Linked DNA regions of Notamacropus eugenii. The protein of the gene in region 2 interacts with the protein of the main gene of each other region in a biochemical or structural test. Links are inferred from orthologs where the notes say so. Each region holds a gene or a part of one and is shown on either strand. Other genes may lie near its edges.

Evidence for each region.
Region 1: the proteins of REV3L (region 2) and MAD2L1 form a complex in vitro, tested with the Homo sapiens proteins (2 studies listed by BioGRID). The link is inferred for Notamacropus eugenii from reciprocal best matches to the Homo sapiens genes REV3L and MAD2L1.

What each region holds. Positions count from the first base shown.
Region 1 is NC_092878.1:164,428,601-164,445,091, forward strand, and holds MAD2L1 (mitotic spindle assembly checkpoint protein MAD2A), read left to right. Parts: upstream 1-8,663; 5' UTR 8,664-8,785; coding exon 8,786-8,858; intron 8,859-9,885; coding exon 9,886-10,032; intron 10,033-12,055; coding exon 12,056-12,212; intron 12,213-13,597; coding exon 13,598-13,701; intron 13,702-15,061; coding exon 15,062-15,234; 3' UTR 15,235-15,985; downstream 15,986-16,491. UniProt on the Homo sapiens protein: Component of the spindle-assembly checkpoint that prevents the onset of anaphase until all chromosomes are properly aligned at the metaphase plate.
Region 2 is NC_092873.1:191,657,925-191,673,695, reverse strand, and holds the start of REV3L (DNA polymerase zeta catalytic subunit), read left to right. Parts: upstream 1-7,681; 5' UTR 7,682-7,773; intron 7,774-8,005; 5' UTR 8,006-8,391; coding exon 8,392-8,530; intron 8,531-15,771. UniProt on the Homo sapiens protein: Catalytic subunit of the DNA polymerase zeta complex, an error-prone polymerase specialized in translesion DNA synthesis (TLS). Lacks an intrinsic 3'-5' exonuclease activity and thus has no proofreading function.

The DNA.
Region 1 (16,491 bases), on a different chromosome or scaffold from region 2:
ATTTTTCAAGGTGTTATTTTCTTCAGCATTTTTTTAGGTCTCCTTTAGCAAGGTATTAACCTGCTTTTCATGCTTTTCTTGCATCTATCTCATTTCTCTTCCCAGTTTTTCCTCCACCTCTCTAACTTGATTTTCAAAATCCTTTTTGAGCTCTTCCATGGCCTGAGCCCATTGAATATTTATTTTGGATGTTTGGGATATAGAAGCCTTGACTTCTATGTCTTTCCCTGATGGTAAGCATTGTTCTTCCTCATCAGAAAGGATGGCAGGAGATATCTGTTCACCAAGAAAGTACCGTTCTATGGTCTTATTTTTTTCCCCTTTTCTGGGCATTTTCCCAGCCAGTTACTTGACTTCTGAGTTTCCTTTCCACACCCACCTCACCTCCAGATCCACCCAGCTAGTGCTTGGGGGCTGAGATTCAAATGCTGCTTCCCAGCCTCAGGGTTTTCAGCAGGGGCAAGGCTGGTATTCAGTGTGAGATTAAGTTCAGGTGCTTGGGTTGGGGCAGAGCCACCCCACTGGCTTAGTTCCCTCAGGGGATTTATGTGGAGACCTTCAACAATGGATCCAGGCTCCTGCCTGCTTTGGGAGCCCCTGTCTACTGCTGCCTCCACTGCTGCCTCCCGAGGGGCCTGAGTTATGGGGGCACCCCACTCCCCTCTCAGGGAGCTGAAAAGATCCTCTCACTGACCTTTGGTGCTTGTGGGTGGAGGGACCTGCGCTGCTGCTTGAGATTCTGTCCCTGAAGCCTGCTCAGATCTGCTCCCCTCAGTGCCACGGGGCCAAGGCAGGGCTGGGCTCTGCTCTGGTGTTCAACGGACCTTTGGTGTCAGTTTTTCAGGTCTCTCTGGAACAGAGATCTCCTCCATTCCATTGTTCTGTGGCTTCTGCTGCTCCAGAATTTGTTGGGAGTTCTTCTTTACAGATATTTTATGGGCTGTGGGTTAGGAGCTAGCATATGTGTATCTTTCTAGTCCACCATCTTGGCTCCTCCCTCACATATAGACTTTTTTGAAATGGAAATTTATTGTTGTATATTTTGAATCCTCTCAAGTTCTGCTGTGCAGATGGCAACGCTTTTTTTATCTTTTCTTATTTTGTATTATTTTAGTTCTACTATTTAAGTTTCTATTTTTCTTTCTGTATCTAAGTTTAAAATTTTTTAAAATTTACAAAAATAAAAAAATGAGGATTGATTCAGGGGGCAGAGCCAAGATGATGGAATTAAGTGAGATTTTTGTTTAGCTCTCCTTACATACTCCTCTAAATAACTTTTAAAAGACTGTCAAACCAAATTGTGAGTAGGATAAACAACAAGTCACAGTGAGTCATTTTTCCAGTCGAGGGCAGCTTAGGTAGAGAGAAAGAGGGGTCTACAGGTACTGGGGAAGAGGCTAGTGGGGAGTATGACAAAAGTAGGGTGTAGCAGAAGTGATCCTGAACTAGCTGTGGCCCTTGGAAGTCACAGCAGTAGCAGCTCTGGTGGCACTGGGAGCACCCAGCCTAAAGGGCTGGCAAGGTGACTGAACACCTGATCAGAAAGAGATTCCAGGGGATCCCTATGTTAACACTGGGTACAGGATCAGGCACCATTTGACAACCACTCCAGTGCCTTTAACAAGAAAATCCCAGATGAAGAGTTGTACATAGCTAAACAAAACAATGATCGGGGTTAGATAATAAATGTTTGAATATTTAAACAAAAATATTAGGGGTGGGGGGTGACATTTAATGATACAGAAGACCTTCAAGCATTCCTGATGAAAAGACGAGAGCTGAATAGAAATGTGACATTCAAAAGCAAGACTCAAGGGAAGCATGAAAAGGAAAACACAAGTGAGAAATCACAAGGGCCTTACACAACAGGGAAGTAGGAGGGGAACAGCTAAGAGAAAGGGGGGTGGCTAAGAGGGATAATGAATTAAGGAAGGCAGTGGTCAGAAACCAAGGGCCACTGATTCAATCACCCAATAGACTAGCATTTATTAAGCACCTACAATGTCCCAGGAAAAATCCTAGGCTTTGGGGATACGAAGAATGAAACAATCCCTACTCCCAATGAGTTTATAGCAATGGAGAGAAGAAGCATTCCAAATTACTTAGAATGTAGACCTACAAAAATCAACAAGTATTTATTAAGCACTGACTACATGCCAGATCCTAAACTAGGTGCTGGGGATATAAAAAAGATGATGAAACATTTCCTGAGTTTAAGGAGAATTCTATTAGAGAGGAGATAAATGTTCATGGATAAGGAAATATAATGTATAACAAGTAGTCTGGACTCATTCCCTATCAGGCCTCTAAGTATACTACTGAGGAGACTGGTCAGAAGAGGAGGAGGTCTTTCTCTAATGCTGTCCCTTTGAGCCCCCATTCTAGTGCTTTCCTTCTATTATTTGCCACCAGTAAATAGTACTCCAGTTCCGTTTAACTAATTGACATCAATTAGATTTTTACAAAGGATATGAACTTTGAAGATACAACAATCCCAGAAGCACAAACATTTCTTCTCTAAAACCTTGGAGACACTTTCCCCTCTGTCAGCTCAGTCTCTGTGGAGAGCAGATTATTTGTGCATGTTCTAATTCTCTACAAGGCATTTCCATAATTCATCAGCATAAATCAGATTCCCCAGACTCTTCCACGTGGGGGAACTGCATCAGCTAGGTATTCTGGCATACTGACAAAGACTGCTCTCATTAGCCAGTCTTCTCTTGTACATACCATGTTCTCCTGGCCCGAAGGAGGCTCTCAGTGAGAGAGTACCAGTCCCCCCTTTTAAGTAACTACACAAAATAAATATGCTGTGATGGTGGAGGATGGAGGTAGATTGCAACTGGAGGATCAGGAAGTAAAAGATGGAGGTATTTGATGGGAGCCTTGAATGAAACTAGTTGCTCCAGGAGGCAGATGTGAGGAAGGAAAGGATTCTAGGCATGGGGGACAGCTAGCTGAAAGCAGAGGAGGGAAATGATGGCATGTCCTATACAAGGGAGAACAAGTGGGCCATCCTGGGTTGAGTGCAGAATGTTTGAAGGGGAGGGATGTGTAATCAGGCTAGGAAAAGAGACTGGAGCCAGACTATGAGGGCTTTAAATCCTCCAGAGAGCAGGCAATGAGGATTTTTTGTGAAGTAAAGTGATGTAATCAGACCTATACTCTTGGAATTTGAATCGGGTGGCTTTATAGAGACAGATTGGAGAAGAGGGAGCCTAGAATCAGGAAGAATATTTGGGGGACTCATGCAATACAAGAAGAGATAAGGACCTGGACTAGGGTAATCGTGGTGTGAATGAGAGAGAACAGGATGGATGGGAGAGATGTCAGGGAAATGGAATCAAGACCTGGCAACTGATCAGACAGGGAGGAAGGCAAGAGGTGAATGAGAATGAAGAATCAAGGATGACTCATGGTTCGATAACCTGGTGGTGCTCTTCACAGAAATAGGGAAGTTTGGAAAAGGAGGAGTGTGGGAAGGAAAGATAATGGATTTTGTTTTGGACATGTTGCCTTTGAGAGGCCTACAGTCCATCCAGGTGAACATAGATGCAAGCAGCTGGAAATGCTGGACTGGATCCCAGAAGAGATTCAAGGGCTGGATATGTAGATTTGGAAATTATCAGCATAGAAATAATTGAATCCATGGGAAGTGATGAGATCACTAAAGAAAAGATGAATGTTTGTGATAGCGCCTTAGGGCACACCCTCTTTCCTAGGGTGAAGGAGGTTTAGAGTAGAAAGAGACCTCAGAAGCCATCTAGTCCAAAATATGAGGAGATTAAGGCCCAAAGAGGTTAAATGGATTGTCCAGAACCACACAGGTGATACGTGACAGAGGCAAGATTTTAAACAAGATCCAGTCAATCAGTCAAAATGAAGCACTTCCTGTGAGCTAGGCCATGTTCAAAGATACAAAGGAAGACAAGAACAGTCCTGCCTTTAAGAAGTCCACGTTCTGCTATGGGACACAAGACGTAAATAACTAGGCCCATACACGACATATGCAGAGTAGACAGAAGGTAATCTTAGCCCAGGAAAGGCCTCCTAGCATAGTTCTTGAAGACAGTCCTGGAAACCAAGAGACAGAGCATGGGGGCCAGCCAGAGCAGAAACGTTCAAGGAAGTGTCACGTTCATGGGAGGTGATGGTAGCTGAAGTGTCTGGAAGGGCCTGAAATATACGAAGGCCTTGAAGGGAGGAAGGGGACAAGTGTGAAGGGCTTTCAAAGGCAAACCAAGAAAGCATTTGATCAGCTCCTTTAGGATTTTATTCTAAGGGGGTGTGAGCTCTTTTGTTATTCACACCAGACAAGAATCAGCCTGAGACACCCTTAAACCCTATCTGTCTCTCAGCTTCTCTAGACTGTGTTTGTGAGCTTCTACTTCCAAACTCATTGAGTTGTCTGATCTGAGAAGCATAAGGAAACTTGGTTCAGCTCCAGGTCACTCCCCTCAAGTCAATCTCGGTCCATACAATTCCCACTAGGGTGAATCTGAGTGTCTGAGGAGAGCTGACGATCTGTGTCCCTCCCACTAACAAAAATTCTCCCCTTCCCAGTGGGTCTGTGATGCAAGGAGGAACATAAGCACCTGTATTCTGATGGAGTAACTCAGGAGGCTGCCCATCCAACCACATATTGTGCAACATGCGTTTTTCTTCCACACTCCTTGTTTGGTGAGGATAATTAAATGACTGGATTTCACTGAGGATACTTCATAGTGTTTTGGGATTTGATAGAATTAGTACAATATCTGTACAAGGCCTTTTTCTAATACATCACTGGCACATCTTGGGTCAACACCAGAGGCACAAAAGCTTTCATTCACTCTACCAAACTACAGAGGCTTTGGATACAAGAGGTAGAGGGTTCAAATTCCATCCTTGAAACTGTTTATGTAACTGGAGAAGTCCCTCTTCCATTCCGGACCTAATTCCTCATCTGTAAGATGAGGTGTTTGGACTGGATGGCTATTAAGGGCCCCCCTAGCTCTAAATCTATGATCCTACGAGTATGAGTCAGAGGACTGACAGCATCTACTCAAGACTCAACTCAAATCCCATCTTATGACATACACACTAAGTACATCAGAAGATAGAGGGCCAGGCAATGGTATTTTCCATGACAGAGAACCAGGACACTGAAGAACATATCTGTATTTCTTAGAAGGGGCAGGGTGTTTGAGGACACTGGGGGGTAGGGGAGGAGAAGAGGAATATTATAAATTATTTTATTAAAAACTTTGAACTGTATGAATTCATAACTTCCTAGGTCTCTGTTTTTCATCACTATTAGAAGTTAGCAGAACTATCTAAAATGAATGCATTTTTAAAACTAGAAATAATAGAATGAACATTGGACTGTTAGGAGCTCCGTATTGCTTCCTCTTCTGTAAAACCGAGAGGGAGGGGAGAATTGTGAAGGGGGAGGGAGTGTCAGAGATCCATGACTAAGAACCTCCAAAGTGCTTTCCACCTCTAAGAACCAAGTTTCCAAACTCTTAGGATGAGAATTTTAATGATGCCTGTTTCATAGCTAAACAGTGCCATCTTCTGGCCAATTGGTTTAATGTCCAGAAAGATTTCTGTTAAACCAAAATCCCCCTATATTGGGGGGGTCCCACTTGTCCACAGAATGAAAATCCTATTTAAAATCAGTTCTTTTTTAAGCCAAAATTTCAAGAATGAAAGACTTCTTCAATATTTTCAAACAGCACAGCAATATGCATGAGGTTAGGTTGCACTGTAGTGGATAAAGAGCCAGGTCTAGAGTCAGAAAGACTGCTCTTCCTGAGTTCAAATCCGGCCTCAGACACTGACTAGTTGTGTGACCCTGGGTAAGTCATTTAACCCTGTTTGCCTCAGTTTTCTCATCTGTAAAATAAGTTGGAGAAGAAAATGTTAAGCCACTCCCAAATCTTTGCCAAGAAAACCCTCCAAAGGGGTCATGGAGAGTCTGACATGACTGAAATGACTGATCAGAGACTAGCTTTTATGACCATCTGCTGACTGAGCTAAAACAAATTACCTAACCTCTCTGGACATTCTTTAAATGAGAGTGCTGGAATAGTGGCTATTATTGTCATCATTATTAGCATTATTCTGGGCTATACAGAACTAGGCGATGCAGTGCACAGAGCACTGGCCACGGAGTTAGGAGAACCTGAGTTCAAATCGAGTCTCAGACACTCACTAGCTGTGTGACCCTGGGCACTTACCCCAATAGCCTCAAAAATATTAGTATTATTCATTTTAACAAATAATAAATAGAATAATTATGTAGTATGTGATATAATAAATATTAATTTTTGGCATTTATAGAGCACTTTAAGGTTCACCAAGCACTTTGTAATCTCATTCAATCCGCAAAATAAATCTAGGAGGTATGTTATTATTATCTCCATTTTACAGGTAAGGAAACTTAGGTAAAGAGAAGTTAAGTGACTTTCCAAGGGTCACACAGCTAGTAAACGTCTGAAGTGGAATTTGAGTTGAAGTCTTCCTGGCTGCAGGTCCAGTGCTCTGTCCACTGTGCTAAAAGTCAACTTTTGGACTCTGGCAATTAATTTGTTATGTTGAAAAAGCTTTACATTTTATAGCACATAACCACATAAGTTTATTTTAAAAAAAAAAGTTACTTCATTTTACTTAATCCTTACCAAGTTGCCTTTTTTTATGGTTGCTGGCCTCCTGGGACATTTGCTTCTCCTTCCATCTTAGGTGAGTCTGGTAAACCACTCTAGAGTAATTGGAGAAATTCCACCCAGCTGCTCCCAAAAAGATTCGGTGAATTGAAGACTTAATTCTAGAGACTTTAGAACACCTTGTCAATTTGGCTCAGAGACACCTTTCCCAGGTCTCAAAGGAAAGAAAAGATAGTCAAGTTTGTCATCGTTGCCATATCTGAGTGGTGTCAGTAGGGTTTCTGACTCTGGATGGAGACATTCAGAGTGGGGGAAACTGCCCCTCTGGTCTCCTCCATATACTCTGGGATCTGGTGACACTGACCTCCTCGCTGTCCCCATCTGGACTCAGGAGCATTTCTCTGGCTGTCCCTCCTCATCTTTGCCCCTCTACAGGAAGCCTTTCCTGGTCCTCATTAAGGTTACTTTGTTTCCTTTGAGATTACCTCTCATTTACCATGTATATATCTTATCTGCATATAGTTTGCATTCTGTCTCCTCCGTTGCTCGGTGAGCCTAGAGAAGATGGGGGGTTGTTGGGGAGGTGGCTGGTGAAGGGAGAGTGTATTCAAGTACATTTTGTAGAAGAGCTGCTGTGGAGGGGCAGCTGAGTATCACTGGATAGGGATGGGGCCATAGACCTCCGGTCAGACATATGGTTATATTGGTAGCTCTTCATTCTATACTCAGCCATCTCCAGTCCACTTAGCTCTTGTCTTGTCACCAGACTCTGATAACTCTGGAGGACAGATGAGGTTGATGACTTTGCACCCCCATTCACTGAAGGTCAAGACCTCACCCTCCTGATGTCATCGTCTTCTTTCAAGAACATGTGATGAACAACAACTTTAATAAGCAGCTGGTGTGTTTGAAAAGGGAGATGACTTGGGCTCAGCTGTCCTAAATTCAAATTCTGCCTCAACCATTTACTTACTCCAGGGGTGACTTCGGGCAAATCTTTTCAACTTTCGGCTCCTGTTTCATCCTGTAGAAAAAACACGTGATCTCCAAGGTCCCTTCTTGCTCTAATTCCTATGAGATGTTTACTATTAGAATAATAAGACTTTGGAAAATATATTTTGGAATATAATATTGGAATAATAGTAATCCTTTGGAAAAGGTCAAGGTCTTTGGCATGAAACGGTCAGTTCATTAGTCACCTAGGCAATGGGTCATAAAGAAAGGCAAAAAACAACCAGTCCCTGAGGTCAGGGCGCTCCCAGGCCGCCGTCGCCGTGGAGATACTTCACTCAAGTGCACAGAACGGATTTCCTTTTAAAGTCCTTTCCAGGTAAACTGCGCAAACTGTCAGCGGAGCCAGGACGCGGCTGGTTTGTGCATGACCCATGGGCAGCCGCCAGGTGGCGCCGCAGCGCACGGAGCGCCCGCCGAGAGGCAGGCCTCGGCTTCCCGCAGTCAGACGTGACGTCAGACTTTCCCCAGCTGTGTGGCCCTGTCTGACTTAGTTTCCCCATCTGTCCAAGGGCCGGGGAAGGAAATTCCCCCCCCCCAGGATGTGTGCCCAGCTTCTCCTCGCGCGTCCCGGGCCGCAGCCCGCCCTTCAAACAGCGGGCGCCCCAGACTCGGATCCAGGCCGGGGCCTCCTCGCCCGCGCGCTCGCGGAGCCCCGACCTCAGTTTCCGAATCTGTGCCGGGGCCGGGGAAGTGGGCGGGACCTGCTTTCCGCGACTCCACTCCCGCCCCCCCATGCTGCTAGCAGGAGTGCGCCTGCGCGGCGTAATGCGCTAGAGGCGGGGTGGAGCTCGTGGGGAGAGGCCGCGCCTGCGCCGAGGGACAACGGCTTCCTTCTGCCCGCAACAGGACGCCGGAGGTGAAAGAGAGGCGGGAAGCGGCAGAACGCCTCGTTGCGCCTGCGCAATGGTAAGGGCCGAGGAGGAAGGCGAGAGCCCAGGCCCCGGTGGCGCTTGCGCAGAGCGGGACGCTCGCGGCGGACCAGAGTGCGCGTGCGTCGAGGCCAGCCCCGCCCCGCTCGGCCGAGGCGCGCGCTGCGGGGATCCCGGCGCGGCTGTTTTTGAACGTGGCCGCGGGGCTGTTGTGAAGGGAGCTCGCGCTCCTGCAGCTGCTCGGTGACCGCGACCATGGAGCGGCAGCTCACCCGGGACCAGGGCATCACCCTGCGCGGCAGCGCCGACATCGTCGCCGAGTTCTTCTGTGAGTGCCTCCCTCCCCCCTTCCCTGGGAGCCCCCGCTGCCTCAGTGTCCCCGCCTGTCAGCGACCTCTAGGCCCCCGCGCCCTCGTGGTCCAGTCGTTTGAGCCCCCGCCGACGCCGGGCCCCCTTGGGTTTATCTGGGCAGAGACGCCGGGGCGGTCGGCCGTGTCCTTCTCCAGCTCTCTTTACAGATGAGCGAACCGAGGCCAACGGCGTTAAATGACCCCCCCCCAGGGTCGCCCCGCTGGGAAGTGCTTGAGGCCGAATCTGAACTTGGGGCCTCCTGACTCCATTCAGCCGCCCGCCCCTCTTACACGCGGGGAAACTGAGGCTCAGGACGGGGCCTTAGGACCCGAGGCCCGCGGGCGTGTCCGGGCCGCTGAAGACCGCTCTGGTGACAGCTGATCATTGCCCGTTGTATCCGATGGTGAGGAATGTCTCATCTCGGGGGCTGCCCTTCCTTGCAACTGTATCAATGTGGGAGGAAGAGGGACTCGCTACTGTATCTAGTCTGGCCCTGTCTAGCCCTCTCCCTGGCACGTGAGGGGAAGGGGCTGGGCCAGGTAAGAGCTTTGATGTCCTCCCTGCTAACGAGCAGCCTGGAGAGGCTCCTCATAGGTTGGTGTCTGATCTTTAGTGAACTTAAGATCTGTAAATGCCAGGTTTTATAGGTGGATGGTAATGGTAAGTATTTGCTATTTCTATTTTCATATAGTGGCTGTTTCAGCACTGTACTGAAATGTAACCTTGGGAAAATTCATATATTTTTATGGCCTTACCTCTAGATGATTATTCCAGCCATAGATGTTTACTGACCATAAAAACTAGAATATTTTCTGCAGGGAAAAATCAAAGTAGGGTGTTTGTGTGCACATATATGTTGCATTTATGTGTGTATACATATGTTGCATTTACTATAGAACTTTATTCTTAGCTATGGGTTTCCTTTCTTTTCTACCAATTTGGACTGAAGTTGAAGCATTTTGTGATCTTTAAAAAAAACACTTTCCTATTCTTTTCGCTTTCAGCATTTGGCATCAACAGTATCTTATATCAGCGTGGTATATACCCATCTGAAACTTTTACTCGGGTGCAGAAATATGGGCTGACTTTGCTTGTCACAACAGATCCTGATCTCATAAAATACTTGAATAACGTGGTGGACCAACTAAAAGGTATTTGAGCTGAAATATATGTTTTTTCCTATTTCCAGACCTTGCCAAACCAAATGTAGGAGAATCTAGATTGTTAGCCTAAAAATCAACATTCTGTACTGCTGGTCTTTATCATATCATTTGAAATAGATTTTGATGTCAGAAAGGAATTGTGTGTCTAGTTAGTCAAGAAATGTTTGTTAAGTGTCTCCTATGTGCTGGGGCTGTATTGTACTAAGCACTGGGGAGCCAAATAAAGACAAATAAAGATAAGCCCTCTGTTCTCAGAGGGCTCCCAGTGTAATGGAAGATGAACAGCAACTATGTACAAGCCAGCTGTAGTGTTGATTATCTGAATTAAAATTGATTATCTGAAATAAAAAGGAAACTGAGGACAAAATTACTGAGCCGTCTATGATTTAATCTGCAAAGCTAGCATTGTGTATTAAGCCAGGTTACCAGACTCCTTAGAGGTCAGAGACAAGGAATGATTAACAGAGATGATTTTTATAACCAAAAAGAGGAAAAATGACAAACTTGTTTTGAACATAATTCCTTTGGACAAGTCAGGTCACCTCTAGTTAGCTTCTCTCAGACTTTCTCCATCCTCTGCCAGATGTCCTTTCCTCCAGGTAGTACCTCTTATAATCAGAAAGTGTATTAGGAAAGAGGAACTTGTGGTCAGTGGTTACCACCCCTACCTCCAGTGTTCCTTAGCAGAGTCCATTACTCTTGGAAGATGCTCTAGCCAAAGAAAAGGGGGCTTATCTTAACCTCTGGATAACCTTCTTCCAGATGCCAGAAAAGGGAACTTGGCTTCAGTCAGCCTCACCCCCTAGACTTTTGAAAAACCTTATAATCATGATTATTTTCTTCTTCCAAAGTATCTGCTACTCATTGATAAAGTATTCTCATTCAATGTATTCGCTAAATCTATAGGTAATATAGACTCAGAAGACTATTTCAGTCTGGCTTAGTTCTTCCTAAAGAAGAGCTGTAATCGAACTAAAACGTAATCAAAAGAAATTTAGAAAATTGTAAAAGTAAAAACGTAATCAAAAAGAGCTGATTTCTTTTTCAATAGACAGGATAAATTGGAAAAAAGCCACAGAGGGAATGCACTAGAATGAAGAGGGATTGGGAAAGGCTTTCTATAGAAAGTAGGATTTCTAGCAGGGACTCAGAAGAGGTCAGAGAGTGGAAAGGAGGAGGCAAAGAATTCTGTGCATGTCGGACAGCCACTGGACAGTCCTGGAGTCTGGGGACATGGGAGTGCCTTGGGGGATGAGCAAGGAGGTCATTGTTGCTGAATAGTAGGAAGCCTGCTGGGGAAGGGCGGTGTCAGGTACAAGAAGACACGGGGAGCAGAAACAGGATTTTAGTATTGATCCTGGAAGAGTTAGGGAGCCACTGAAGTGTACTGAACTGTGCTTTAGAAAGACAGCTTTACCTTCTGACTTGAGGCAGACAGACATTTCTCCAGCGGCCATTGCAGTGATCCAGGTGTGCAGTGAAAGGAGAGAAGGAGGCATATATGAGAGATGCTGTAGGGGAGCATAGGCAGGCCTTGGCACCAGTTTGGATGGGGGGTGAGGGAAGGTAGAGCAAGGATCCAGGTGGACCCCTGGGTTATGACGCAAGGCACCAGGGGGATGGAGATGCCCTCGACAGCCAGAGGGATCATGTTTACAACTGACACAATTGTAACAAGCATTGGGGCGGTTAGGCAGCACAGTGAGTAGAGCTGGACTTGGAGACAAGACTCGTGTGAATAGTGCCTCGGACAAGTGACCCTGGGCATGTCGCTTAATTTCTGCCAGCCATCTGTAAAGTAAAGGTAATAAAATAGCAACTCTTTCACAAAGCTCTAATTAGTGAACTCATAAAAGTGCTGTATAAATGCCAACTGTTAGTACTCACTGGGATATAGTTTTATTTTCCAGCTTCAGGATTTTGTAGCCATGATTACTGAGGGGTCGAGGAAATTAAAAATAGAAAATTCCCCAAGCCCCCAGATTGATGTGGGGTGTTGTATTGTTGGCAGCAGACAAAAACAGACGGTTTCTCATGTTGCATGCAGACTGGCTGTACAATTGTTCAGTTCAGAAATTGGTGGTGGTGATTTCGAATATTGAAAGTGGCGAGGTCCTTGAACGATGGCAGTTTGATATTGAGTGTGACAAGACTGCCAAAGAAGACAGGTGAGCGTGCACTTACTTATTTTTAAATTCATTTTTCCCCAATAAATATTTCAGTTCTAATTCTCTAATGGAAAACCTACGCAGGCAATGACATTTGAGTTTGTTCGATCATTTTGTGCCAATCTCTTTTTTGAGATGTGGTCTCCTTTTGCCCAAATCCCAATACTGCTTAGCACAGGTTAGGCCTAACCTTAGTGCAGGTTGTCTCTTAGCGCCCCCTGCTGGACGCTCTCCATCCCTGTGCTCTACTTGGTGTGAAAACCTATTGCAGCAACAGAGCTCCCAGACTCAAACAATCCAGCATCCTCAGTCTCCATGCAACCCCCAAGCCCATTGGGCTGCTTTATGCTAGTCTTACAACTCCATGGTAAATACTCCTTCAATGACTTTTTAATTGAATTTTATTTCCTGTAAAATGTTAAGGTTAATTACTGAATTTTAATAGTTATTGTTACATAGTCAATTGTATGCAGCATTTTTAGGAAATAAAATCCATACATGTGTTTTGCAAATAGAAATGAGGCTGAGTAATGGAGGGGAGGGTCTACCCTCTAGGCCCCTGGACCCAGCACAAATGCAAACCTAAAAGCAGAAATCAAGCTCATGCCACAATTAGGAACAGAGGTGCGTGACTAAGTCTGAAAAATATAAATGAATAAGGTGCTGGATTTGGGAGATGGTCGTGAGGACCATCTTCGTACATTTTAGGAGGTAATGACTTGAATTTTTGTTTAGTCGTTTTTACAGTTTTGTCCAGCTCTTCATGACCCCATTTGGGATTTTCTTGGCTGAGATACTGGAGTTTTTTTGCTATTTCCTTCTCCAGCTTATTTTACAGATGAGGAAACTGAGGCAAACAGGGTGAAATGACTTACCTGGATTACGCAGCTGGGAAGTGTCTGAGGCCTGACTAGAACTGAGGAAGATGGTTCTTCCTGCCTCCAGACCTGGAGCTTTGTCCACTACTCCATCTAGCTGTCCCAATGACTTGACTCTAAATTTCTTTTAATAAAATTGAAGTCAAATTGTTACCTTTTTCATTTTTCATCCTTGTGTCCTAGAACCCAACACATTAACTTGTATATAACACTTGTGTGTTGGGTAATACAAAATATTGTTTACATAAACTAAAATTATAATGTTGAACCTTAAGAAATGACTCCATTACAGCAAGTTTAGTCTCTTAACTGTAGAGTTTGAACTTGTGGGGGTGTGATGTCATGACTTTTTTGGGAAATAGGCTTGTTTTTTCTCAGGATTAACTATTAGGCTTAGCCTGTTTATTCCTATCAGATGTTTGCTTGACTTTATAATGATCTTAGAAAGTCGTTCCTAGTTTTCATTCATTCAACATCATGAAGTGATATGTTTTGTTTCCTTTGTAGTGCACCAAGAGAGAAATCGGTGAAATCTATCCAAGATGAAATCCGCTCAGTGATCCGCCAAATTACAGCCACCGTGACATTTCTGCCGTTGTTAGAAGCAGCTTGTAAGTATTTGGTAGAAGCCTTGTTGGCTCTGACCACACTTGATAATTCTGGAACTGGTTCTGCTGGAACCTTCTGCTGGACGTCAATAAGCCCTTGCGTGCGATTTGGGGAATTTTATAGCTTTGTGCTCATATGATTGTTTGACTAGTGACTGTGAAGCCTGTTAGCATGGTGACTGGAATCTCACTTATAAGAGGACTTGGGGAAGTCTTAGAACTAGTTAGTGAGGAGACCAGGTATTGAAACGAAGGCCTCCCAATTCTCCGTGGTTGGTTAAACAAACTCTGACTTCCATAAACATTCAAATAACTTTTTCCCCCATGTCAGTGAAAGTATTTTAGCTGACACACTTATTGAACTGCTATATTTTTGTCACAAATCATGGATGAAAGAATGGAACCTAAGGGACCAAACAGAAACAATGAAAAGATCCATTAAGTATAACAAGTTTAAGATTTGGAACCAGAACTCCTGGGTCCGAGTCAGATCCTGCCTTGACCTGTGAGATCCTTGGTCAAATCATTCAGTCTCTTGAGGCCTCAGTTTCTGAAAGTGATTTGAAAGTTTCTGAAAGGGATTTGAAAGTTTCTGAAAGGGATTTGATGAGATTTATTTGAAGTGTAAATGCTATGATCCTGGGAACTTAACTTGTCTGTCTCACGGTCTATTGATTTAGGGTTGGGTTTTTTGTTTTAAAACAATGTCATCATATATCATTGTTCTCTGCTGGTCAGTTTACTGATCTATTTACTAATGAAAAAGTTTCTTCATTTATAGAGAAACCTAGAAAATACCTCTTTTTAGAAATATTTTTAAATCTTCTTTTATTATTAAAATAACAACCATTTGTGTGTTCTGTTTTAATCTGTACTGATAGTGCCTGTAAGGCCTAGCTGGGACTGTTTTCTGCTTCTCATATAACCTCTCCAGTCTGGTTTCTTGTTACAGGTTCATGATCAAGGGTATGGTTACATTTCTAATCTTGTTAGTGTCAGGTTTAAGAAGTAGGTTTGAGATCCCTCTTGACCTGAGCTGTGTGTTAACAAACTAGAATGAATCCCGACTTAGCTGCTTCACAGAAAAGTTGAAAGAAGTATCTGCCAGTTTTCACATTTCGAATGCTCTGTGAACTTTGATGACAGGAAATTTGAGTTTCTCATGCAAGTCTTCAGTAACATTTTAGTGACTAGAAGTTTTTAAGACCATGTCTCACCTCAGTGTTGGGAGAGAAGGTGCCTTGTTTGTTTTAAATCTCGCTGAAACATGACTTGCAAACCTAGCGCTTCCTTGATACCAAAAGAACAAAAGCCTGGGGTCCATTGGAAATAACACAAACTCCATTATTTCCCCCTGATTCAGGTGCATTCGATCTACTCATTTACACAGACAAAGAACTCGTAGTCCCTGAAAAATGGGAAGAATCCGGGCCACAGTTTATCGCCAATTCTGAAGAGGTCCGCCTCCGTTCCTTTACTACCACTATCCACAAAGTCAATAGCATGGTGGCCTACAAAATTCCTGTCAACGAGTGAGGGCAAGGGAAGGAAAATAATGAGTGTGTGATTCTCAAACTGGATTTCCCGTAAGATAATTTAAATGAGTTGATGCATTTTATTTCACTGGTTAAACTTTAAATGGGAAAACTAATACTCTGTTGTACTGGCCAAAATTCTTCTATTGTCTATACATACTGGACACACCTTAGGGCTGACATCATGGAGTAGAGAGGATTTTAGTGCTTTTCCTCTAGTTTTATTGTGTTTTTGGCTAAAATAGATTGGTACAGAAACACGGTGCAACATTGTTTAGGAGACAGAAGAAGATACTCAGTGGTGGGTGCTAAAACATATTAGTGTCCAGCCTCTCTAAGTAGTCAGCATTGTTTTCCGTCTTTAGTCAAAAGTTGACACTTGCTTAAAATCAAATGTTTTATTCATAATTTGAGGAAAATTTTTAGTGAGGAGGTGATGAATGTGCCAAGAGAGGTCTAAATAGTAGAATTTTTTGTTTTTATTTTGTTCTGGGAATAGCTAAAAAGATACTGATAATAGGAATCCATCAGTTATGACAATGACGAATTCATTTTGTCCCAGAATATCAGTTACTTCTTTGAAAACCTTCCAGAGTTTGAAATACTGTTATCATCAATACTTGTATAAGCTGCGCTAAAGTGCTCTAGAGACAGCAAAACTCTGGTTTTTAAAAATGTCTTGTTGTATGTTTTGCGATAATCAAGCCTTAAATGACTGTAAATGGTGAAATAAAGTTAATTTTGTGACTTAAGTCTGTGTCAGTTATTACTGGTAACTACATTGTGTAACATAAATACATAAGCTAAACTTGACCATGTATCCCAAGATTGGAGTTGTGGGAAGAACAATGAATTTGGAGTCAGAAAATGTCATCTCTGCTACTTACTACATGATCTCAATTCACATAAGTTGCCTGTACTTCATTTTCCCATTTTCAGGGCCCGAGGAAGGGCTGAATTAAGTGGTTGCAAAGGTCCCTTCTAGCTTTAAACTCGTTGGTTTTGTGGTGGCCACATTAAGGTCACTTTGGATACTTTCTCTTTGTCTTCTTTGTTTAGTATTCCTTTGTTATCTTTTACCATTATCTGAAGTCAGAGGGCCTGAATTCAAATTCTGCCATGGTTAATACTTGTGTGACCACGAACAAGGAACATAACTTCTCTGGGCCTCGGTTTCTCATCCGTAAAATGAGACAATTAGACTAGTTTAATGTCCCTTTCAACTTTAAATCTATGATCCCATGAACAATGAGTTTAC
Region 2 (15,771 bases):
TGGCTGGAATCATCAATAGTAGGTAGGAAGCTGATGAAGAGAATGACTGGAGCAAGTACACTGAACTTTACTGAATTCACTACAGAATAAAATGAAGGCAAAACAATATAAATCAACAAAAATATGAATCATGTCAAATCAACTGGCACTCTTCCCTGAATACGTTAAGGAGGGAATAAAAAGGTTTGGTTTTGAAGCTGAGGAGGAGAGCTATAACTATGAATAAAAGATACTGAAGGGAAAGGCCATTCACAAAGCAGAACCAATTTTTGTAACATAGGAGGTAGGTAGCAAAGATAGAGACAAAAGATAAAGAAAACTAGCAACACTACATGTAACACTGTTGATATTGTTCAAAGATGGACATGAAGATTTTCAACCTCTAAAACATTAAGTTCACTGAACCCACAGATTACTGTAGTTTATTATGATATCAATTGAAAACAAAGGATTCATAGGTGTGCCCTCTTTGGCTGTTCCTACAGTTTTTCCTTACAAGGCTCATTAGCCTGTTGGCAACTACTTATAGGATATGAAGCCAGGAGGCTCCCAATGCTTTTTCCTTGGTTCTCAGTTCTTTCACTACCCGTTAGAAACTTGAGCAATGTTAAATCTACTTACCTAGACTCATCTAAATCCATATGGCATACAAAGCTGCCATTTATTACTGAACTTCCCTCCTAAATGTCTTAGTACCACTTCAAATATAGAGAGGACAAGGCTACTAAATATATTCTTACTTGCATCACACTAGAAAGAGCCTTTCATAGACCTTTCAAGTGAGCAAAAGACCTTACGGTAATGACTGACTTCGTTGTACTTTACTATGCTCAGTTAGAACCAAAAAAATAGAGAACCACTGTCTTTCAATTACAAACTACTGAAAAGTAGGTACTAACTGGTTTTGTATGGTACTGAGCACAGAATTAGGAAGAGAATTAAAGATTTGGATGATGCTGATAATATAAATTATTTCGTTAGGTCCAATATTATCTGCATGTTGATGTGTACCAATCCTATTCCTTTCTTCCCACATTTATAGAAAGATGATAATGTACTGGAAAAAACAATGGGTTTGGAGTAAGGAAACTTGGGTTCAAGTCCTGGCTCTGTCATAAATGAGATGTGATTCTTGGCAAGTTACTTCACCTTTCTAAGGTTTAGTCTCTTCAGCTGTAAAATGAGAAAAGGATTGAGGTTGAGGTCAGTATCGAGGTTTGAAGCCTTGTTTGTCTGCTCCCTGTATGACAATAAGAAGGTCACTTCATTTTGATGTGCCTCAGTTTTCTCATCTATAAAATGAAGGGGTTAGACTGGCAATAACTCTTAAACTGAAATCTGTGAACTCTAAAAACATTCTGATAATATTTCAATGTAATTGTGTATGTATATTATGCATGTGTATTATATATACACGTTACATATGGTGTGTACATACACATGTGTATATATGTAGCAATACATTACATGCTTATATGCAGTGCATATATCATATATACATATGTCTATTACATATGTATATATATATGTATGTGTATATATATATGTATGTGTATATATATATACACACACATACTATTCTGAGACAAGGTACATAGGTATCACTAGACTACCAATGAAGTCTACGACACAAAAAATGTTAAGAACCTCTGGGCTAGATCATTTCTATGCTGTCTCTTCCAGAATTTTTACTTCCACTATATACCTCACAGGGCTGTTGTATCAAATGAGAAAAGGTATATCCTTTTTAAACTTTAAAGCGATGTAAATATAAGTTTTTATTATTACTTCCTTGTGCTGTTGATTAAGTTTCTTAATGCCAATATGGGCAGCTTATCTTACTAGATAGAGTGCTAGGCCTGGAGTCAGGAAGCCATATTCCTCAGTTCAAATTTGACCTCAGACATTTACTAGCTTTGTGACCCTGGGTAAGTCACCCATTTGCCTCAGTTTCCTCATACGTAAAATGAGCTGAAGAAGAAAATGGCAAATCATTCTAATATCTTTGCCAAGAAAATCTCAGAAAAAGTCACAAAGATTAAGACATGACTGAAAACGACTAAACAACAAACTACAACAAAATGTCACTATATTAATTGAGGATAAGTTCTTTTAAAACACAACTGATAACAGTGAACTAGGTTCACTGTTTTCAATCTCTTTCCCAAGAATACTAAAATTCTGCTGTCAATTTAAGCCAAATGAAATAGAGAACCATGTTGAAAATGGCTAAGAAATTGTCTTCAGGTGGGTATTCTTTGACTAGTGCAAAAAGGGTTTGAATTGTTGAATTCGTCTTTTATTAACATTCCAAATGCTACTGATTTAAGAGGCAGAATAAAATTTCTCCTCTTTCAGAAATACTTAAACCATTGATTTGATAGTTCCCATTTTTTCCCCTAAGAACATTATTACTTGAAAACTAAGGATTTACTTTACTATATGTTGCATTTGGACTTCAGTTTGTTCAGAAAATTGTTAGCATTTTTCAGAAATTGTATTTTAGCACAATGTTCCTATTTTAAAATCTGATTTCTCCCTTAAGTCACCACATTCATTCATCAACCCGTTGCTATTTGACTTTTGTCTCCATAATACTATTGAAACTGTGTTATTAAAGGTCACCAATTATATCCTTTAATGACAAATCCAATGGTTATTTTCTCAGGTGTCATCCTCCTAGAGAACTTGACTCCATTCAACTCCATCTCTTCCCCCACCCCTCAGTTCCTACAACAGCATTTCATTTTTCTAATTATTCTTATCTGATCTTTTTTCTATCTCCCTGACTGGCTTTTAGTCCATTCATAGAATTGCTCCCAAAGATTTTGTTCTAGGTTTTTCTTTTTTCTTCTCTCTTCTTCCATAATCTTATTCATTTTCATAGCTTCAACTACATCTCCCAAATCTAACTCTCTAGATCTGATCTCTCGTAGATTTGACCCACATTTCCTTTTGCGTACTGGACTCCTACAGTTGAACATCATCACGATATCTCAAACTCCAACACTTACAGACCTGAGCTTACTACTTTTCTCCTAAAAACCTACTCCTCCTTCTGACTTCCCAATTTCTATTAACAATATCACTACTGACCTGCACTCAAAACTTCAGGGTTACCTTAGGAAGTGAGACTGGAGGAAAACTCAATTAGTAGCTAAGTTTCTGTTAATTCCACCTCCACAAATTCTCTTTTCAATTCAGTTCAACAAGCATTTACTAAGAAGACTACTGTGTTCTAAGTGTTTGTGATAAAGACAAAAAATTTTAAAGTCCTTGCCTCCTTGACTATATTTTACTGGTAGAAAACAATGTTTATAGACAAGCAGATTGTGTGTGTGTGTGTGTGTGTGTGTGTGTGTGTGTATGTATGTATGTCCCAAATAAATATCACACAGGGAGGCAAAGCTCTAATAACAGGGGGAAATCAGGAAAGGACTCTCAAAGAAGGTGAAACTTGAGCTTAGGCTTGTAGAGTTTCCAAAGGGCGGAAATAAGGAAGAACAGAAATACAACTGAGGGGAACAACCTGGTTGGCAAAGACACAAAGATAGGGATGAAATATCATATAGGGAACATCAAGTAAGCCAATTTTCCTGGGATGTGGAGTGCATGTGAAGGAATAATACATAATCAGTGTGGAAAGATAAGCTACAGGGATTTAAAGTATTTTAAATGCTGAAAATTTAGAGGACTATGCATTTTTATCTTAGAGGCAATGTGAAACCAGTGAAGTTTTCTATGCAGGAGTGTCATGGTTAGATCTATGTTTCAGGAATATCAATTTGGTGGCTGGATAGAGAACAGAATGGGGAAAGAGGAAGCAGACAGTTTATCAGGAGGCTATTGTCAAAGGGATGATGACCACCTCAATTAAGATGGTTGTGGTGTGAGGTGTGAAGGGACAGATGCAAGGAATGTTGTGGAGAAAAAAACTTTCCACAAGATTTGGCAAATGATTGTCTATGAGGGGTGAGTGAGACTGAGGAGTTACTCTATTTTGCATTTGCTGCTTTACCTAGTTTCAAATCCAGGGAAGAAGCAACCTCTTCCAGGAGAAACTTCATTTCTAATCTCATCGCCATGCTGCTAACTCAAGCCTGGACTGACACTACCCCCCTCAGCTTCCTCTCCCTCCTGACAGGAGGACTAGAGGATGGATAACCTCATGAGAGAGGAGTCTCAGTGCCTTCCTTTATACAAGGCAGACTGGCCTCCCAACTCACTCCACTTTGCATCTGCTACTCTGCCTGGTTTCAACTCCAGGAAACAAGATATCCCTGGTGTGTTGTCCTTTCCTCCACTTTCCTGCCTCCCTTCGTGTGTTGTCTCCAACTATTAGACTGAAAATTCCTTGAGGGCAGAAACTGTCTTTCTTTTTACTCATTGTATCCCCAGCAGTTAGCCAGTGCCTAGCATATAAAAGCTTAATAAATGTTTCTTGGATTGGACTGAGATGTATAACATCAGAATTATAAATCTGAGAGATTGGAAGAATGTGATGCTCTTAAAAAAATAGGGAGCTTAGAAATAGCGGTAGACTTAGGTGGAAAGATAATGCATTTTGTTTTGGATAGCTGAACTTGTGAAGCCTCAGGGACAATAAGGTGGAGATGTCTGGCAGGTGGAGATACTGGCCTGGAATGAAGGAGAAAGATGAGGACTGGAAAAGTGATTGGGATGATAGTTGAACTAGAGAGCAGATGAGATCACCAATAGTGTGCAGGGAGAGAAGAGGGCCCAGGATGGAGCCCTGGGTGTATACTCATGCATAAAGGGTGGGACACCAGACTGACGGAAGAACTTGGAGAGAGCATTATCAAAGTCAGGGAAGAGAGAGTGGTGGCCAGTGTCAAATGATACAGAGATGTAAAACAGGATGAAGACTGAAAAAAGTCTGTTGGATTATGCAATAAATAATAGGATCTTGTAAGAAAGCGGTTTCAGTGAAGTATGAAAACGGATGGCAGGAGGTAAGTGGTGATGAGAAGTGATATGGGATGGGCATGAGAATGAACCAGTGAATTTGAAAAAGCATATATTAAGCTCCTACAATATACCAATATTATATAATGCTAGTCCCCAGGGAAACAAGCATTAAAGCAAAAACAGTTCCTGCCCTCAAAGAGCTGACATTCTCAGGGGATATTTGGTTCTGAAAGTTACAGAGATGCTAAGTGGAACCATAAGGGAGTAGAATGATATGCCTCTTTCAGAAACAACAGCACAGTTGGTTTGAAATTGGTTCATGATGCCTGAATACCTTACATTAAATTCAAGGCAGAAGATGGTAAAGACAAGATGTAAGGGGAGGCTTTCTATATCCATGGATGCCATGCATTACAACTCTCCCAGACTACTACAATGTTCTCCTAACACGTCTTCCCGTTTTTTTCCCCCAAAACTATTCTTTACACTGTTTATGCACAAATCTGGTGGATCTTCTCTGTTTGAAACTCTTTAAAGCCTCTATGAAAGTCTTTCTGGTTCTTTCAGGCTGTGTCCTTTATCTCTTTCTTAAAGACCAAGTCCAAGGGTACAGGCCAAGTGTATGGATCAATCACCTAATATGTGGTATTAAGGGGAGAAAGGGGATTCAAAAGGTCCAGGTGAAACCATGTTACCAAAATTCTAACCTCTTTAAGGAGACAGCAGGGATTTAGGATATCTATACCAAGGATATAGGTATATATACCTAGGATATTTGTCTACTTTCATACTGTTATAAGCCCTCTCATAAAATTAAAGGCTTCATGAAAGCAAGAAGCCTTTTATTGATCTATGTCATCCACCTAGGAACTGAATTATATAATATTTTGCACTAGAAATTCATTACTTAAATATATGGAGAGAATTCCACCATGGGTACTAAGACCCACAAGTGTAAGCTAATTTGCCATACTGTTATATCTCAAATCCCATGTAACAAAGGTTCCCATTGACTATACTCCCTATTACGAAATTGTTAAGATGTGATGAAAGGAACACTGGATTAAAAGTCAAAAGACCTAGGGTCATCTTGGTTTTGTTACTTACTATTTCCATGACCTTCAATTACTGAATCGCTCTCCAGGCCTCGATTTCCTCATTTGTAAAATGGTTTAGACATTATCAAAAGAACTTACAACTCTATTAAATGAGGCTCTCTCAAAACACTCCAAATATACAGTAATTTACTGGCTATCAAAACAAAGGTGTGTAATAAACAGGTAGGCAAAAATCCTGACCAGCGAGAGCGCTAATCAGCGCTGTAGAAAAAGCACTGGAACTGGAGTCACAGGACCTACCCACAAATTCCTGAAACATCTTGGCTACTTAGTATCTAGAAGGTACCGTGAAAGTCACACACCCTCTTCACTTTTCTCATCTGTAAGGACGAGGTGATCTCTAAGGTTCCTTCTAGTCCTAAATCCTCGGATGCTTTTGGTGTCCATTTTCGAGCGTTTTAACATTTGGACCAAACCGAACTGCACAGGACAAAAGGTGGACTTGGGACTAAAACCCAGGAATCATGGACTTATTAAATCGTATACAACTTAAAAGAAGCTGATACCACCAAGTGCAACACTCATTTCACGGCCAGGAACACTGAAGCCCGGGAATCCTAAATTAACTTGCTCAAGGTCACGCAGGCAAGAAACCCAGACCGCCTGACTGCCAGGAGGGTGGGTTTATCTCCTAACGTAATCTCATCCCACAGGATTTGGATTCACGTTTCCAAGTATTCTCAAAGATTTACTCAAGCTTTTGTGCTTTCCATAAAGGGTTAACGCCTAACACGACGCCCTCGGCATTTCCATCCAGAGGGGTTACCCTGGCCCTTTTCCGTTGTTTTCCCAAGTCTTTCAATCCCGCATTCCACTGGGGGGAAAGGTCACGGGCCGACAGCCTCGTACACACGGAAGCCCAGGCACGCGCAGACAGGCGGCGGCTCCGGAGCCACGAGAAAAAAGGAGCTCGAAGGGAGAAAACGGAGGGAAGGGAGGTGGGGGCGTGTAACGTGAGACACAACGAACTGGGAAATCCTCACTCCATCTGCCAACCCCTGGCACGGCAGGGCAGAGGAGGGCAGGGCACCGCCGAGCAGAGACTCATTAACAGGCAGCGAGCGCACACTGCAGCAAAGGGTGGGGGGAAGGGGAGGAGAGCGTGAATGGCGGGGGGAGGGAAGTGGGCGCGCAAAGAAGCAGAGCGCGGCGGCTCCGGCGGCGGCGCACGTACAAACAGCCGCACGGCCGGGGCCGCCCTTTTATAGGCCGAGCCCGAAGCCTCGCGCTCCCCCCGCCCCTCGCGCCGCCTCCGGGCCACGCGCAGGAGCCCCGAACATTACCTGGAGACTTGGTGCTAAATCCGTCCGATCTCCTCCGATCTCCTCCGCTCACCCCGCCCCGCCCCTCCCCTCCCCACCCCTCCCGCGCGCCGCGGCTCGGCGCCGCCCCTCCCCCTCCCCCTCCCTCTCCCTCCTCTCCCCTTCCCCCGGCTTCCTCCCCTACTCTGGATTCTCTTACCTTCTGAAAACGGGCGGAGGCGCCGGGCGCCCATCTCCGCCTCCACTGCAGGATACGAAATGGCGGTCTGAGAAAAAAAAAAAACCGCGAAATGCCGCAGCCTTTGCCAATCCCGCGTAACCGCTGAAACCGACCCAAACGCAGCCGCCCTTCCCCCAACTCCAAACACTTCTGCCCCGCAAGTGACTGAAAGGCGACCCCCTCCTTCGCCATCCATGACATCGGCGCTCCACCTCCCCTTCTCCCTCTCCTAGCCCGCACCCAGGTGACGGTACCCACATTACGAGTCATCGATTCTCCCGGGCCCCAGCTGGGGCTGGACCCGGCGCGTGCCGATCGGGGGCGGGGGGAGAAACACATTCTCTTTCTTTTCTTTCCCCCTCCCTCCCACCCTATCTTTTCCTTTCCCTCCCGGTGACCCCCCCCCCATTCCTCCTCTTCTTCCTAACCACACCCCCTCCCCCACCCTCTTTACACCCCCCCTTCTCCCCCCCCAGTGGTTGCGTCCGTGACATCATCATCATGGCAACAAGAGCTGCAGCCTGGGACGGAGAAGCCTGTGTGATCCCCGGAGGCGGCGGCAGCGGCAGTAGCAGCGGCAGCGACGAAAGCGTCGGGGTTTCTCTGGCCGTGCCCCCCGCGCGGCGCTCCTGAGGAGGCGGCAGCAGCAGCGCGGACCCCTAGCCCTGGGCCCCGCCGCCGCCGCCGCCGCCGCTCCTGCTCCTCCTCGCGGTGTCTGGGAGGGGTGAGGAGACGAGAGCGGAGATAGGGGCCGGCAGGCGAGGCGGGCGGGGAGGGGGCGCTGCTGCTGCTGCTGCTGCTGCGGGAACTGCTGCTGCTGTTCTGTGTGGCTGCTGAGGGAGAGGTGGCGGCGGCGGCGAACATGTTTTCAGTGCGGATAGTGACTGCCGATTACTACATGGCCAGCCCGCTGCAGGGGCTGGATATCTGCCAATCCCCCTTCACCCAGGACCCCGTCAAGAAGGTGCCGGTGGTGCGAGTCTTCGGAGCGACCCCCGCAGGTGAGCGCGACCGGGGGGAGGGGGCGGCCACTCCGGGGCACACACACGCACGCCGGCCGTGGCCACCGCCGCCGGCGTCTGCCTGGGCTTGTCTCTCACGCGTGACAGGGGGCGAGCTGTGGGCTCAGCGCAGATACCCCCCTCGCCCCCAGCCGAAAGGCAGAGGGAGGCGCAGAGAAGCGGTCTCCCTGAGTGTTTACACTGCGCCAGGCTGCCGGGAGCCGGAGGACAGACGCCGCACTCCCTGCCTCTCCTCTCAACATCCCCCTCCCCCTTTAAATGAGAACCGCCTTGCGGGGCTGGGATGGTCTTTGTGGGGCCTTCGTGGACCTGTTCGGAGTAGTCCCCCCTCCCCTCTAGTGCTGATCACCTGGTGGGAAGCACCACCATGTCTTGCTTCTCGTCTACTGCCTCTGTCTGGAAATAGCTTCACAAGAGGAGGAAGCGGTCATTTCTGTTGTCAAAATGTTACCACCATCACGCTGCCATCATGCTCCTTGTTCCCTTCCTTTCCTCTCGGAGATGCAGTAGGCAGTACATTGAGGGAGGTGCCCGGGGCCACACAGCTTTCCCATTGAAATGACCATGTGGCTTTCCGGTGGGAGCTGTGGATGATTCCTGAAGGATTTGTGGCGTTGACGCCTCCAGAGTCTGGGGACAAGATAGCACCCCACAGGTGCGGGGCTTGGAGTGAGGCTTGCATCTTTGGAAGCAGAAAATATTTGTTTCTGAAGGAAAAACGTACCATGTCATAGGTTTAATTTGTTAGGAACCACAATTCAACACAGATGTATAAACGTAGAAAATGCCATGTGCTGGGTGGCAGGATTGCCTTTTAGACAGACAGTACATCTTTAGATAAAAAGAGCTGCTTTAAGGCTATATTGCAGCAGATGAGGAGGGAGGGGGAAATGGAATGATCTTAGTTATGTTTTCAAAAGCTCCTGAGGTTCATGATCATTTGATTAGGATGTTGGCCAAACTTGAAAGGTGCTTTTTTAATCACTTCGCTTTTATTCTAACGTATTTGGAGTGGCCTACCTCCTTCCCTCCCTCAGAAATGGATGCCCTTACCTTTAGCTATGCGTTTTTGTCCCATGGGATTTTGAATTGTATTTCCCACTTGATGCTCCTTGCCCTTTTCACCATTCACCTTATTACTAGATTCCGTTTCCTATAAACTACCAACATATTACTATTTCCCTAAAGATAAAATTTCTTCCCAGGCATTTATCTTTTAGTGCAAATTCCCTTTGTTAAAATTATCTATGTTCATAGGAGCATTTCATTACAGTATCCAGTTGTTGAGGTTTTTTTAAAATAGAGATTAAAGGGGGTGTTGACACCTTTTAAGATAGAGCATTTCAATACTGTAGGGTTTTGTTACAAGAGTATTACTTGAAACTTTGAACATGTAGGGGAGGGCTGAGCAGATAAAGTGCTGGAAAAGATAGGTTTTCTGTCCTCTTTAATGTAAGGGATGCTGTCTTTGTTTCTAATTGAAATTTGTATTATCTCGTTTGTTCTCCAGGTGCAATGAAAAGGAGAGATCCTGCAATTGATGTATCTTTGTCAAATGATAAAACAGATGCTAGGCATCCAGTGTTATTTCTGCTTATAACTTTTACATTTTGTTACATTCTTTCCCTGCAGCTCATTTTGATTGCCCCCCTCCCAGTGTTATTGAACATTCCTGAGTGAATTTTCATACTCTGATAGGATGATTCATAAAGTAATTATAATTTTGTAACTATTTGTCCAAAAATGTATGGTCCTGAGTTTTTCCACAACTTGAATAGAAAATTTCAGCGGATGAAAGTTATTTTAATAAAACAACTATTATCTATAAAAAATAAGTAATTTATCCTACTTTTAAAGCATAATGAGAGAAATTTTTCCTTCAATAACTAACTTCATCTTCTGTTGTGTAGTTTTTCTCAGCTCAAGACACTCTCTCCTACTTTTTTTAAACAGGAAATTAATTTATAAAATTATTCATTGTTTGTAGACATGCACCTTTTAAGTGGGCTGAGTATTGGATTTGGAGTCACATGACTTGGGTTCAGTGCTAGTATAGCTACTTATTACCTTCAGCAAGTCACATCTCCTCTGGGACTCAGTTTCCTTACCTGTAAAAAGACAAGTATGAACACCTTCCAATTCCAGATCTAGGAACATACTAGTGACAAAATTATCTTTAAAAATTGCTTTTTTAAAATGAGTCATTTGACCATGTATGTGAGTGGTTAAAATTATAATTAATGATCAGCTTATATTACATAATATGCCATAAATAAGTATAACATTTAAGAATTAACTGCTAATGTACTCTTAAAGGCTTGATTTGGGTCTAGAGCTGGAAGGGACTTCAGAGGCCAACTGATGAGGAGATTAAGGCTCAAGGTGGTTAAATGATTTATTTGCCCAAGTTCATACAGGGAATAAGTGTCAGAGACAAATCAGTTATTGAACTTTTTCAGAGGAATAAATTGTTTTGATGTATTTTCCTAATGAGTGTTATTTTTGAATGAGTAGATTTTGAATAAATAAGTTATGCCAGTTTGTACTGTTGCATGGAAATGCTTTCTTTTCTAAAATATCTAGTTTGGTTTACTTTAAATTTGTTTGACTCTATTTAAATGTTCAGTGTGGATAACTTTTTAGAAATTAGGTGTCCTGAATTAAAAAATAGACTCTTCTTGTTACATTTCTTGAACAAATAAAATTTGGATAGTAATTGCTCAGTGAGGCTGTTGACTCCTAAAAAATCATTTTTATATTCTTGGTTTGAGTGGAAGTATTATTCAAGAATGATCTGCTGTGATTTTCTTTACATTAATGTTTTTCCCTAAGAGCTTTATTTTGTTATCTCACCTGTTTGACATTTATTAAGTACTGCCAACTGCTTCCTTTCTTCATTAGGAAGAGTAGTTTTGGACAGTGTTTACAAGTTGGAGATAGTATTTTTGTATTTTTTAAATACAGAAGTGTTTGTTTACTCTGGGAATTTAAGTAATAAAACGCATGGTGATGGAAAGAGACTTCAACTTGTAGTCTGAGGACTTGGGTTCTAGCCCCTAACCAGCCCACAAGTTAGATTGATATGAGCTTCTGTTTCCTGATCGTGTAAAATTAAGTTCTTGGACCAGGTAGTTAATTTCTCAGATCCCTTCTACCTACAAAACTCTTTGACATAGCATTGTGAAGCCACTTGGACTTGGAAAACTGTTCATTTCCCATATCCTGACTTTTTTTAGTCTTTTGGCTTAATTCAGGCCTTGGGAAAACTGACTTCTTAACACCAAGCTAAAAAGAACTGTCTCCTTTAGGAAAGGCCTTTGAACTTGAGATGCAAATAAGAACCAACAGAAGGTGTGAAGTCCACAAAGTAAGGATTGTAAGTACAGTAGGCCAAACTGTAAATAGAAGAAGCCCTTTCTTAGGGGAAGTATCTTTCTTCATTCTCTGAAAGTTTATTGAAGTGGAAATAATTATTACATATGGAATCTAATGACCTGTGTTCCAATTCAGCTCTGCAGTTACATAGAATTCCTATGACCTTCATCTCTCTGAGTTTCACTTTCCTCATCTCTAAATTGAAGGTGTTAGACTAGAAAAGGGATCTTTATAGGTCTCTTTCTACCTCCAGGGTCTTTGATTATTGTAGTATAATGAAGTATAGTATTGTTGATTCTGTGAACAACATAAATCAGATTTGCTAGAGCTGATTCAATTCAGCAAACATTTTAAGCAAATTATTTTGTCCAAGACTGAGTTCTGGGGATACAAAGACAAAACACTCCTTCCCCTTAGGGAATTTACGTTCTTACTTTGTACTGGGGGATACAGTAGTGTATACCATTAAATAAATGCAAAACAGTATAATTAATTTCTAGGGGGAAGAGTATGCTAATTATGGGGGAGGGGGAATAGGACGGGAGACCAGGTCAAATAAAGGTCTCTTCTACCAGATGACTGACATTTAAGTCATGCTTTGAAGAAAACTAATTTTTTTGTAAGATGGAGGTGAGGAAGGCATTCCAGACTTGAGGAACCACTTATGTAAAGGCAAGAGTGGTAAAAGATGACATATCATGTTTGGAAACATCTAGGAGACTAGTTAGACTATATTTGAGGATACAGGAAAGGGACTATATGAAATAAAAATGGAAGGGGAGATGGGAGGAAGATTGTGGTGGATTTTAAATGCCAGGCTGAAAATTTTGTATTTTATTTTAGAAAGAAGTAGGGAGCCATTGAAGATTTTCATCTTGAGATAAGGGATATGTCATTATGTGGTCAATTAGGTTTTGTGAGTAGCAGTTTGGCAGGAATGTGAAAGATGTATTGGAGAGGGGAGGAAATGAAAGTAGGGAGACCTTTTAGACTATTGTAGTGGTCTAGGTCAGAACTGAAGAAGGCCTACATTAAAATAGAAAGAAGTCACAATACCATGCTAAATGGGTCTATTCCTAATATATATGATTGGAGAGAGAAGGACAAATGAGAGATGTGGTGAAGATAGAATTTACAAGACTTGGCAACACATTTGATATGGACCTTGAAAGAGGGAGAAGAATAAAGGATAAAATCCAAGATTGCATTCCCAGAGTTGCACCCATCTACCTATGTAGATATAGTCTTTTATTCATGTAGGCTAATAAATTTAGAGATATTTTAATCCAAATTGCTTATTTCACGGATGACAAAACAGAGGTTAAGTGACTTGCCTAAAGTCACACAGCTAGTATCAGAACCAGGATTTGAATTAAATCAATTAACAAATATTTATTTAAGTGCTTACTATATGTATAAATTCAAAAGTAAAATAATACCTGCCCACAAAGTGCGTACATTCTGTCCAGTGAGACAACACATACAGGGAAAAGAATATACAAAACAGATATAAGATGATTGGGGTGGGGCTGCATTTAGGGTGACCAAAAAAGACTTTTGTGTAGAAGGTGATACTTGAGCTAAGACTTGAAAGAAATTGAAAGTTTTAAGAGAGAAGTAGTTAGGGGGGGAGTAGGGAAGATAGTGCATTACAGACATGGAGGACAATCAGCTCCAAAATAAGAAGAAATACCTTGTATTAAAAAGGGTAAGAAGATCAGATTGAGAGGAGAGTTGGATTTTGAAGAGGATTAGTATATAATAAGGTACGAATATTTGTTGGTACCAGGTTATAAAGGGCTTTGAATGACAAATAGAGGAGTTTGTATTTCATCTTAGAGGTAATGGGGAGCCACAAGAGTTTATTGAATAGGCATCGACATGGTCAGATTTGTGCTTTAGCTAAATTGCTTTGGAGTTAAGTTGAAGTTGATTGACATGGAGAGAGGCAGGGAGATAATTGGAAGGTTATTGTAGTAGTTCAATCAAGAAGTGATGAAGGTCTAAACTGAGGTGATAGCTACATGAATGGAGTCAGATTTGAAAGGTCTTATGAAGGTGGAAATGACACGATTTTGTAATTTGAGTATGTGGGGGGGTAAGGAGCTGATATTGATACTCTGGAAGAATAATGGCGCTTTTAAAATTATTAGAGAATTTTGGAAGAGGGATGTGTTTTTATTGACAAAGATAGTGAATTTTATTTTGGACATAGTGTGAGGCACATGTGAAACATCCAATACCAGTTGTCTACTTATTCATTCTCATCCATTTCATCACTAGTCTGTTAGTGTGCTACTCCAGATCTGCATGTCCCTTGTACTGTGCCCTCTGCAGTGTTGGCTCCATAATGAACAGACTTCCTTTTGTTTTAAACTTCCTCTTTCACTCCTTTTATCTTTTAGCACTCACTGATACCTGTCTCCCTTCAGACAATACTGCATCTTTGACCACTGTTCCCAAAGCCTTCTGATTCACTGGTCTAGGTAGAGCAGTAGGAATAATCAGTTTTTGCTCTCCATTGTCACTTCAGACTCTTTCTCTACCACCTTCACTTCTAGAGTCAAACTTCTACTTTAGTTCTTGGCTGAAAGTCTCTCTGCTCTAACTCCTGCCATCATAATAAGGGTCATCAGATACAGATTAGTGTACGTCCTAATTCTTTAGTCTGTTCAACTCCCGTGACCTATTCCATCATACTACCACAGCTACACATCAGGATAGTTAAACCTTTGATATTACCATCACCTGAAATTATTGTATTATGTTGAGGACCTCTGATGTTCCTTTATCCAGTCATAATCTTTTATTATTATGTCTCTTTTTGTGCTTTATGACACCCCCCCCCCTCCAAAACCCTATTCTTTGTCCTTACCATGACTTACATTTCCTCTAACTCTCAATACTTCATTTGATCATCCATCACCCCTACTTTGCATTCTCTTTTCTTCCCAGTCATGACCCTTTGGTGTGCCTGTTCAACGCTGTATGATCCTCTCTAATCTCAAAAATGCCTGCACTTCTCCCTCTTCCCCCATCTCTGGTCACACATTGCCAAACCACAACCCTGGATTATTCCACTATTTCTGCTTGCATGCTGCTGAAGGAAGTCACAAAACTTTTCTAAGTGTACCCATTACAAATTTATGCTATCTAATCTGAGCTAGACCTTCATGACACCAAGGCAGTACTTCTGTTCCTCCTTAATCAATTATATATCCCATTCACCACAGTGGCTATTCCATACCTCTTTTCTTCTTAAACATCTCCTTGGCCTTTCAGTTGAGGACCGAGGCTCATTCTTCATTGAAAAAATTGAGCCCATTTGCTGAAATTTCCCTCTTCTCCCCTTTTTCTCTCACATCCCTCTAAAGTCATATCCATTTATCTCTTCTCACATTCTTGTCTCAGATGAAGTAATGGACTTTATCCTACCCCCTGTGCCAACCTTTCTACCTGAATCCATGATCCCATCTCTCCCCAGCTCCAACAGATTGCTTTTACAATCATCCCCACTCTCTAATGGTAAATCTTAATCTCTCTTGGCTCCTTCTCTGATTTTTAGGAATGTTCCTGTCTTTGTTCCCATCTTTACTCCTCACTAGATTCTGCCATTCCTGTTAGCTGTCATTTTATCTTTTTCTTCCTCTTCTGAGCCAAACTCCTTGAAAAAGTTGTCAGTACTGGGTGCTGGCACTTCCTCTCCTCTTGCATTGTCCTAAATGCTTTGGAATCTGGTTTTTGATGTCATCATTCAACTAAAGCTCTTCTCTTCACAGCTGCTGGTGATCTCTGAATTGCCAGATCTCATGGCCTTTTCTTGGTCCTCATCCTCTTTGAACTCC